Drosophila melanogaster: one gene and its partners. The protein of the gene in region 2 purifies or fractionates together with the protein of the main gene of each other region. This does not show direct contact. Each region holds a gene or a part of one and is shown on either strand. Other genes may lie near its edges. The genes, in order: CG8132, CG5565 and JMJD7.

Region 1 (3,769 bases), on a different chromosome or scaffold from region 2:
AAGAATCAGCTATTGAACGAGTCAACGAAGCAACTGCTTCATGCCACCCATCAGATCCGCGAAATTCAGCTAGATATGCTTAAGCAACTGAAGTTCCTGGCCAAGATTCGTTTCCTCAACCTGCCCGCCACCGATGTAATCAGCCTAAGTGCCGAAAACCTTAACATTCTCCAACGCATGGTCCTGCACACTGGCGTGGGCATTCCCGAGGAGACACTAAAGTTGTCCAGCGCCAGCACAAGTCCACTTTGTGAGGCGGAGAAGTACGCGGTTAGGGTAAGTACAGCGATAGTTAAAGTGATTCAAACATCCAGTTAATGGTACACCTTATTACCGTCCCACCAGGCCTTGGAATTCATTAGTCAGCCCCTGATGGCCACCGATGAAGCCATACGAGCACTTTTCGACCAGGCCCAGCGACCCCACTACGTGCAATCACCTGCATCCGAAGTAACTCCTGCCTGCGATAATCAGCAGCTAGATAAAATGCAATAGTTTTTCGACAGAAATCAATGTTATATGTGTGTGTAGGCCTAATAAATTTTATATACAATCAAATAACATAAATGCAATGCTTTAAAGGTGCTTAAAACGACAGATTCTTGAATTTTTGAAGATTTCCCATTTCCCATTTAAAGCAATCCTTTATTTGGCCTTCCTTTCGGTGGCGTACAGATCTAGACGTCTTTGCCCAAAGACGGGAATCTGCTGACGCACCTGCTCCACCTCGGAGAAATCTATATCGGCCACCACGATTTCCTCGCCTTCACTGGCACTCTGCTGCACCTTGGCCCATGGATTCACCACCATGGAATGGCCATAGGCTACATACTCGGCGCTTGTGTCACGGGCTGGTGATGTTGTGACCACAAAGAGTTGGTTGTCATTGGCACGGGATCGCTGCAATAGCTCCCAGTGCAGTGGACCAGTGGTCATGTTGAATGCAGCCGGATAGATGATCATCTCGCAGCCTGCGTTGCGATAGAGCCTCGCCATCTCCTCGAATCGAATATCGTAGCAGATGCCGATGCCAATCTTGTGGCCATCTACGTTGATGATGGTGAAATCATTGCCTGCGGACAGCGTTTCCGACTCCTTGAAGCGAATGCCACCCTTGACATCTATGTCAAAGAGATGCATCTTGCGATGCTTGGCCACAAGGTCACCAGTGGGTGACCAAACCGTGCAGGTGTTGTAGATGGCATCGTTTTCGCCCAGTTCAGGGATTGTTCCGCCCACGATGTACACCTGGTGCTTCCTGGCCAAATTGGAGAGCTGTTGCGAGGTATAGCCATCGGGAATGGTCTCGGAGTACTCCCGAAAGTACTTGGTGCCGTATGGAGCATTAAAGCACTCCGGCAGAGTGATCAATCGGGGTTTATGCTCCTTGACCGCCGCCTCGATTTTGGTGACGGCGTTTTGGACATTGGCCACTTTGTCCTTGGAACCCTTGAGCTGCAGCAGCGCCAAACGCATGACTATTAAATAAGAAATATTTAAGTGGATCTCTTTGAAATTTTGAGAAACACTTACTGTTGCTAGTTTTGCTCATATTGCTGCAATTAAATGTTATCTTTTCGCGGTTTGATAACAGATTTCATCGCAAGCAAAACAACAACAGGTTATCGCAGGGGCGTAGTAAAAGGGATCAATATTTATAAAACGCATTATTTAACCTCATATTAATACGCATATACTTAGCCAAAGCATACTTAACCAAAAGAATATAGCATTAAATTGTGTATAAAATCCTAACTTTTCTAACAAAAAATAAATAATTTGCAACCCCCATAAGCCCATGTTTTCATGGCAATCTGGCAAGGTCTGCAGTGCTCGAAAGTGTCGTACAGTGGGCAGCGCAGCCAAGTTCACGTCGTGCGCGAACAGGGTTGCCACCTTTCTTTCTAGTTTCGTCTCTTTGAGGTATGCACGTGTTCAATTAACAATTTCACGCAAATTCGCCGAAATGTGTGAAAAAATTGTGAAAATATACCACCAAATGCAGCCCAAACTGCACCCACCCTAGTGTAACTCCAAACTAATAATGATTTTCACCGCTTTTGCACATGTAACCCACGAATCGCCACGACAAGCAGCAACAACAACAGCAAAATGGTCCAACGTCTGACGCTCCGGAGACGCCTGTCCTACAACACACGCTCCAACAAGCGGCGCATGTAACTATCCAACTGCAATACACCTCACCAATATGAAAAATAACGCACATTTGCAATTTACAGTGTTCGCACGCCCGGTGGTCGTCTGGTTTACCAGTATGTGAAGAAGAACCCCACCGTGCCCCGTTGCGGCCAGTGCAAGGAGAAGTTGAAGGGTATCACCCCCTCCCGCCCCAGCGAGCGCCCCCGCATGTCCAAGCGCCTGAAGACCGTGTCCAGGACCTACGGTGGAGTGCTGTGCCACAGCTGCCTGCGCGAGCGTATCGTGCGCGCCTTCCTCATCGAGGAGCAGAAGATCGTCAAGGCCCTGAAGAGCCAGCGCGAGGCGCTCGTCAAGCCGGTGAAGGCCCCCAAGGCCAAGCCCGAGCCCAAGAAGAAGCCCGCTGCTGGAGCCAAGGGAACCAAGGCCGGTGCCGGCAAGGTCACCAAGGGTGGTGCTGGCGCCAAGGGAGCCGCTGGCAAGAAGCCCGGCCAGAAGCCAGCCGCTGGCAAGCCCAGGAAGTAAACAGCCCACGCAACGAGTTCGGTGTACTGCTAAATAACTTTTAAAATAAATTGGTTTTTTCCAACTGGATTTACTGTTTGTATTTTTAGTTTGACAGTCCAGTTGGATTGTGTACTTTACTTATTGGTTGTTCTTGTTTTCCAATCAGACCGTTCGACTTTTAGACATTTATAGCAAAACGATTTCAAAAGTGAGAATATAATATAATTAAAATAAATAAATTTTAAATATTTCGTTTGTCACAGAGTTTTACTGTGCTCGTAGTCAAACTTTTGATGATTTTTCAGATTTATTGATAATTATAAAAAATAAGATCCAGTGTTATTTTTCAAAGTGTCAATTTGTGAGAGTGATCACTGTATATTCATTGTATGACTAGGTGGCAACTCTGTTGAGAACAGCTGTTCGGCAGAAGCAATTGGAATTTTCTTAAAAATCACGTAAGTCGTTGATTGTTTATAGTTTCTTGCAAATGCAATTAATATTTTGTGTTTAGAATGGCGGGAACCAAGGTGCTGCGCTCCCTGCTGCACGAATTGCGCCAGGCATCTCCAAATGGCTGCATCAAGGACTCTCTGGCCGCGCGCTACATTTTGGCGCAATACAAGAAGTTCGCCACCACGGAACAACAATTCTGCAAGGCGCGCAACGAAGCGACTTTCCTGGGTCAAACCTACCTGACCTACCTAGCCAGCCAGCGCCGGTACTTGGAGCTCTACAAGGAATATCACGGAAGGGGCGAGAGATCCGTAAGGGATACCGCCGATTTGGTGGGCTTCAAGCTGCCCTCGGATCCCAAGTGATCTAGTTATATAGAAAGATAGTTACTAGCGTAGTGCGATTAAAGCGTCCCGATTTTGCAAACTCCGTGCTTGTGTTTGCTGTCTACTGAATCATCTGCATGAGCATGGTTATAACCCGGTAGGAGACGCTCATCAGCTGCAGTTGAAAGCGAAATTCACATAATGTCATATAAAGTATACGTGGTGTTTGCATTTTACCTGTTTAAAGGTGTCCAGCGAAATGGACAGGTAGCCCATGGCATTAAGTTCCACGGGCTGCTGCGCCCTGATAATGATTATGAGCA
Region 2 (3,221 bases):
CGAAAGCAGCGACGAATTGTGTGCATAAATTATGCAGCCAGCCATTTTGGAAAGCCCCACATTTATGATATTTCACCATTTTTTGTACACGGTATGAGTAGAAGGATATGTGGCATTAGTATATACAGCAGGCAACTTTAATAAAAAAATATTTATGTATTGTATACCAATCATAGGAGATGCCTTATCTGCTTCCTATTTGTTTCAACTAGTTTTATCAATAACTAATAGTAGGCCAAGTAATGTGTTATACAGAGTAACTCATGGTCTCAACCAAAGGATTTAACGAATTACCTTCCTTTTTTTTTGGCTTGGTTAGGGGAATTCCCACTTGGCTGACCAGCAACAATATGTTGCAAACGTTTAATTTGAACGCGTCTCTAATCGCTGTCCTGGCAACCAGGACACTCCACCTGCCACCTGAAATCTGGGCGCTGTAATTGCGTTCATTGAATTGTTAACTGGTCTGCTTGTCTGCCAGCCTGCATTTCAGTCCCCGAAAACCGCAAACTTGCAGCGAGGGCGGCCAAAAGCCGTTGTTATCCTTGCGGTCCTTGTGGCTTTGTGTGAACGCGACTGCGAGTGTGGATGGGTCCCCTTGAGCTGATTTCCGCACTGGCTGGCGGGTCCTTCGATATCCCGGTCAAAGCACATCAAACTTTTTGGCTCTCCCTGTGGGCCATCTGCATTTGGCATTTATTGGTATTGTTCCAATTAAAGTTGGACTCGGTCATAAAATATGCAAGCTCAGTGAACCAGTAAGCCATTCGCCATCGCGCAACTTCTGTTTCGATTTGGCGGCCACAGGACATTAATGCGTTACGGTCAATGGTTGCGACTGCAACCGAGCCAGCGCTGCCAATAAAAGGTAATAAAATGCCCCATCCTTCGGTAGCCAATGCGGATGGTTGAAGTTAAGCAATGGAGTTGCTTCTGAATATACTAAGTGGGTTTTCTCAATAAGGATCAATTAAAATTGTGGCAATATAAAAAGGAAGGGGAAACGCTAGAGTCGCGCTACTTAACTATCAAATAAGTTGGATCGAATAAATAAACTAAATTCAATTTAAAAGCCTGGGGATAATAGTATTAAAAAAAGACATTGATCTTTATTTTAATCCATGATCCGATGCCTATCAAGCATCATAAATTTCCGCTATCAACTCCGCAAAATGCGCAAACATTTCGTTAACTCGTTTCATACGGCCCAGGTGCGCCTGGCTATTAAACCCGTGCCAAAATCAAGCGTCGCGACGCATTCACCTTTGACCCGCCACCCGCTCCACCCACCACACAAAGTTTAGCACCACATGCTGCATGCACCACCCACCGTACCTACTTCCTCTGTCTTCCCAACATTTTGTGGCACGTATTGGCCAAAGCCAAAGTTTCGGCGACGCGCTGGTGAAAACGTCTCTTGCGGCTTGGCTGCCAACTGCTTAATCAATTACGCAACTTTGTAACAACATGCGAGTCCTGGCCAAAAAGCGTGCGCCGCATGCATTAGACATAGCTAAAACTACGAAAGTGCAACTACCGCTGAGAGGAATGAAATTTAAAAAATGTAATCAGGACCTCTTGGAATTATCTCTCAAAATTCTTAATGAAAATTCAGTAACAGAAGAATCAAATTGTTGTAGTTAGTTTTTGGAAAATTAAGCACCGTTCTGGCCAAGGCGAACCCTCTAAATTAAGGAGCATGCGGTGTGTGATATGAAGAGCTTAGACCATTGTAGAAATGCCCACCAAGAAGTGTTACTGCCCCGTCACTCATGTCATCTTTGACTGCGATGGAACCTTGATAGGTGCATTACATTTAACATATTCTAATTGAATAAATGGTTCTATATTCATACCTTTTTTTTTTGCTCTTTCAGATAGCGAAGGCATCTACCTCAAAACGGTTCAAGACTTGTTGGCTAAATATGGCAAAACGTACACCAAAGTCGATCAGACGCAGCATATGGGAATGCCGGTCGGTACATTTTCCCAACACATCGTCAAGGATCTAAAACTTCCGTTGTCACCTGCGGAATTTCAAAAGGAATTCGAGGCAGCTGTTGATAAGAGCATGGGAAGTGTGGCTCTGCTGCCAGGGGTCAGGGATCTGATTCTCCACTTGCACGAATACCGCATACCCTTCTGCATAGCCACAAGTTCGTTTAGGAAACTGTTCAAAGTGAAGGCCGAGTCCTTCAAGGATATATTCCTGGCCTTTCACCACGTTGTCTGTGGCGATGATCCGGCACTTGGACCGGGAAGAGGAAAGCCCTACCCAGATATATATCTCCTGGCCGCCTCGCGATTCAATCCGCCCGCAGATCCCAAAAAGTGTCTTATATTCGAGGATGCTCCAGTGGGCCTCATAGGCGGAAAGGCAGCGGGATCCCAAGTCATCTTTATTCCAACTGATAACGTTTCCAAGCAGCAGAAAAAGGGCGCCACCATGGTTCTAAAATCGATGGCGGACTTTAAGCCTGAGCTCTTTGGTCTACCACCCTTTGACACCTGCTCCAAATTCGAGTTTGGCTAATCCCTAGCACTCTAAATTGATCCGTCAAAATTAGTATTCTATCTATAAAATAAAAAATAATTCAAAATTCAAGTGAACCAAAATGTCGGCGGAAGAGGCGGGTTCTAGGCAGTGCTCTTTTCAGCCAGTTACCCATTGCATTTTCGAACTCGATGGTCTGCTGATAGACAGCGAGCGTTTGAGAACGGAAACCGTTCAAAGGATTCTGGATCCCTATGGTCACACGTATAGCTTCGATCTGAAGATGCGGTGCATGGGAAAGCCAGATTCCGAGCAGGCTGCTCTAATCGTAAACACCTTCAATCTGCCCTTCAGCATGACGGAGTTTGAGAACCAGCAGGAACTTCAGTGTCGTGGCAAAATGGGATTCATTCGACTGATGCCCGGTGTGGAGCGTCTGCTGCATCACCTCAAAGCGTTCAACATTCCCATGGCTATCGCAAGTGGCTGCTGTCGGGATTCGTTTAGGATAAAGACGCGTCGGCACTCCAGGCCCTTCGATGTCTTCCACCACGTGGTTTTGAGCGGCTCCGACGAAGAAGTCAAGAGGGGGAAACCCGCTCCGGATGTTTTCCTCACCACCGCCTCTCGTTTTGAGGAATCGCCGGAGCCGAGCAAGTGTCTGGTCTTCGAGTCCTCTTTGGTTGGTATGGAGGCTGCTCTGTCCGCTGGCATGCAGGTGGTCCTC
Region 3 (3,447 bases), on a different chromosome or scaffold from region 2:
GCCACTAATTTCGCCCAAACGCATATATGCCAAGATCAAGAAGATGGACATACCACGACAGCGGGACGAGTTCCTGCTTTGGTACCGTTCTTATTTGGAGCAGCTGTTTGTGGTGGAACAGCCGCAGGATAGCTGCAAGACCAAGTCGAAGGTGACACCTTCTGGAGCCAGTCCGGCCAAGCTGAAGAACCAGCGTGTGCGCAAACAGTCCCAATCCCAGTCGCAGGACTCGAATAACGATGCAGACTTGGCCGAGGCGGACCAAAAGAACGTCTCCTCCGCGGGAAATGGCGAACTGGAGTGCGAGAACAACGAAAATCCCGACGAGGAGGCAGATGGACAGGCTGCAGCGGAGCCTTCCGGCGCAGAAAAACAGGACGTCAGTCTCGAATAGACTAGAGAATAACCCAACAAAGCAAACATTCCTTATTTAAGAAGTCATCATCTGTACGGATATTTCATATTTCATTTACGAATTTCGGAAAAGATAAATCTTTTATGGTCGTGTCCTTAGTCGTAGTTCGCAACTCATTTTGGGTATCAGTTTTTTATTTAACACTAAATTATGTAACAATAATATATATAAATACACTGAAAACAAGAAGGGTTTTGAATTCACCTAACAATCCCTGAGAATAAATACTTCTCCGGATTCTATTAGCCACTCCTTGCGGACGTCATCTGCTCCAGCATGCGGTAGTAGCAGTACCGGCTATCGTAGTCCAGATCGTACCAGAAGTTCACGGCGATGCACTTGTGGCTTTGGGACACATGGTGGAACCAGTAGTTGGGCAGGTATAGGATGTCTCCCGCGTGAACACGTACTTTCAGAGGCTTGGCCCGGGCGTACTCCGGATATTTGGCCAGGTCGGGTGACAAGGGATCAACGCTGACCCATTCTGTGAACTGATCGCTGCCTTCCTCATCCCTCAACGGTTCAATGTAGAACTGACCACTATCTGAGGTCTTGTAAACGCCTGTAGGGTAAATTCCTCGCGGTACGCAGCTAAGCTGGTGCGGCGGGATGAGAACGAAGTCCTTGTGACCGGATATCACGCAGTACACGTTCTCGTATGGATCCTTGTGCATGGAGGTAACGGCGCGCTCGTCGCCCAGCCAAAAGTTAACAGCATCAGGCGGTTTGTTAAAGGACTGCTGCGCAAAGTCGAGATCACTGACCCGCAGATCAGCAGCCAGTTCCGGTAGGTCCACACTGAGGTTAGAGTTCTGCTTTTGTATGTAGTGGACAGCACCAGTGGGATCATCCAGGCGGCGGACCACCTCGGACAGCTTCATTTTCGTCTCCAGCGGCAAAACGAAGTACTCCTGTCCATTTTGAGTGGCCAAGCCGTCGGCATAGCCATTCGGGGTGATTGCCACATCCACGCTCCTGTCCCCGAGAGCCTCGATCAGGTACTTTGGCGTCCATTTGCCAATCGCGGGCCAATTGAGTGCCTTGCGAATGACCACCGGCTGGTTTTTGGAGTAGAATTCCCGACAAAACTCCAAGGCGGTTGGAATCCTGTCCAGCTCCACTACGCTGCTCCCGATGCACAGCTCCTCCGCTTCCTGGAGCAGAACATCCAGAGCTCTTTCGACCTCGGACATGCCGGTAAACAACACGCACTAACGCATTTTCCGCTAGAGTGGACCTTATCAGCGCAGTGTAATGTGGGGTTCTGGTTTTCAGTGAAAGTTAAACTGAAGTGCTGCAGTGAATTTAATTAGTTTCACCAAATGACGTATTAAATAAATAATATATTATACACAAATTAAATTGAAACATTTATTATTGTAATTTTTGTTACGTTTTTAAAGTAAGTAAGCAAGGTATTCCGAAAAAATCGATAAGGGTCAAATTCGCGTCGGTGAAATGCAAAAATGCTAAGAAAAGAAAGATCTTACTATCTATCTTATAGAGGTTGTCTAGCGTGCATTTTGATTTTGATTTTGCTTTTAATAATTAATTTGAATTTGGTGGTATAGAAATATAAGTGGTATTTTCTGAAACTGCAATGGTGTTGAGAACTGTGGTATTTATTTGCAAGTCGCTTGGTATTTTCCAGCGCTTTCGGCGCGGTCCCACTGGACGCGAGTGTGTTTGCGAGTGCGGGACTTTCAAGACGCGCGCGAAGCTGCGGACAGTCGGATAGGAAGTGGAGCGGACTGGAATGCAAACAAGACGACGCGTGTCGAGTGTTTGTGATAGAAACAAATTGTTTTCGAATACGGTCGGTGCTCTATTTGTTTTGTGAAATACAATTGATTTCACCAGCGACTCAGAGGAGGATCAGGGTCGTCACCTCTTTTGCATGCCCGACATTCGCGCGGATTCGAAGTTCAGCTGGTGCGATTCGAGCAACAGGTGGCGGATGACGGATGGATGGATGGGTGGCTAAATGGATCGTGTCGATGGGCCACGGGATTTGGCGAAATTTGGTGCTGATAGACTTATAGACTGACATAGGCCCGGCATTATTATTTGTGGCCAAAAGGGGTCAGGCGGTGTGCGCGTGAGGAAATTGAATTGACTTGGTGGCCACCGGCGGCGGTCCGAAATCGAAATCTGTGTCGCAAATGTGGCACTAATAAATTATCGCACATTCGCGCGCCGCACAGCGAGTGCTTCATTAATGCAGGAATCGCAAATGACGGAGAATATCTAGTTTTGCAGCGGCACTGCGTTTGTTTCATTTTGCCAGGAGAACGTGACCAAACTTTCCAAGTGCCGCGTGAATTGGATCTACCCAGCCAATAGGTCTTAATAGAGCTAACAATTATTTTTGGTAGCCACGCTTCGCGAAGCTGGGCGCAAACAAAAAAGAACGCAAACTCCGTGGCCTATAAATATCGGTCTTCGGAATTACTAAATCCAATTGCAGTCCAATTAGCAGTCGGACGCCAATGAAGCGGCTGTGAAAGAGTAAGTACGATGCTCTTTTGAAGCAAATACTTGCAAACGTCGAAGTTTACACACCCTAACGATTAAAGAATGTTTAACTTAACTGAAACATAAAAAATTATGCTTAAATAAATAAATTGATGTCTTAATTTGCCAATCAGACTCTGTGACTCTAAACACACAGTTCCAATCAGACAAATTTTCAAATCTAATCTGCTTAAAAATAAACCAAAGTGATTGATAGAGTCTTATGTTGATAGCTATTTAACTGATATAGGCTATAATAGACACTTCCGGTGAAAGTTCCCTTCAATGCATTACAAACCATAGACTGCAGCGCATATACCCTCCAAAAAAAGAGAATCAAAATCAACAAACGCCAACAGTGCGTATGACAGTTCTTACGCAATTAAAATACCATCACTGGCTGTAAGATTTACATAAATTCGGCCTGCGAAACTGAAAACTGATAAGCGTCATAAAAAAAAAATGAGGGGCAGCAACAACAATTGGTGTGTGAACCGAAACCCGAAAGCCGAAAAGCC

The links.
Region 1: the proteins of CG5565 (region 2) and CG8132 purify together in Drosophila melanogaster (affinity purification with mass spectrometry, with the first as the bait; one large-scale study listed by BioGRID). This does not show direct contact.
Region 3: the proteins of CG5565 (region 2) and JMJD7 purify together in Drosophila melanogaster (affinity purification with mass spectrometry, with the first as the bait; one large-scale study listed by BioGRID). This does not show direct contact.

What each region holds. Positions count from the first base shown.
Region 1 is NT_033777.3:9,399,350-9,403,118, reverse strand, and holds CG8132 (uncharacterized protein), read right to left. Parts: upstream 1,625-3,769; 5' UTR 1,553-1,624; coding exon 1,534-1,552; intron 1,479-1,533; coding exon 646-1,478; 3' UTR 501-645; downstream 1-500. Other genes in the region: CG9356 (uncharacterized protein), read left to right, coding at 1-276, 346-495; RpL34b (ribosomal protein L34b), read left to right, coding at 2,113-2,177, 2,241-2,682; CG34117 (uncharacterized protein), read left to right, coding at 3,180-3,485; Or85f (odorant receptor 85f), read right to left, coding at 3,568-3,621, 3,684-3,769.
Region 2 is NT_033779.5:1,354,286-1,357,506, reverse strand, and holds CG5565 (uncharacterized protein), read left to right. Parts: upstream 1-1,582; 5' UTR 1,583-1,738; coding exon 1,739-1,805; intron 1,806-1,877; coding exon 1,878-2,533; 3' UTR 2,534-2,596; downstream 2,597-3,221. Other genes in the region: CG31924 (uncharacterized protein), read left to right, coding at 2,616-3,221.
Region 3 is NT_037436.4:13,448,652-13,452,098, forward strand, and holds JMJD7 (jumonji domain containing 7), read right to left. Parts: upstream 1,633-3,447; 5' UTR 1,609-1,632; coding exon 658-1,608; 3' UTR 536-657; downstream 1-535. Other genes in the region: cmb (combover), read left to right, coding at 1-394. UniProt on the Drosophila melanogaster protein: Bifunctional enzyme that acts both as an endopeptidase and 2-oxoglutarate-dependent monooxygenase.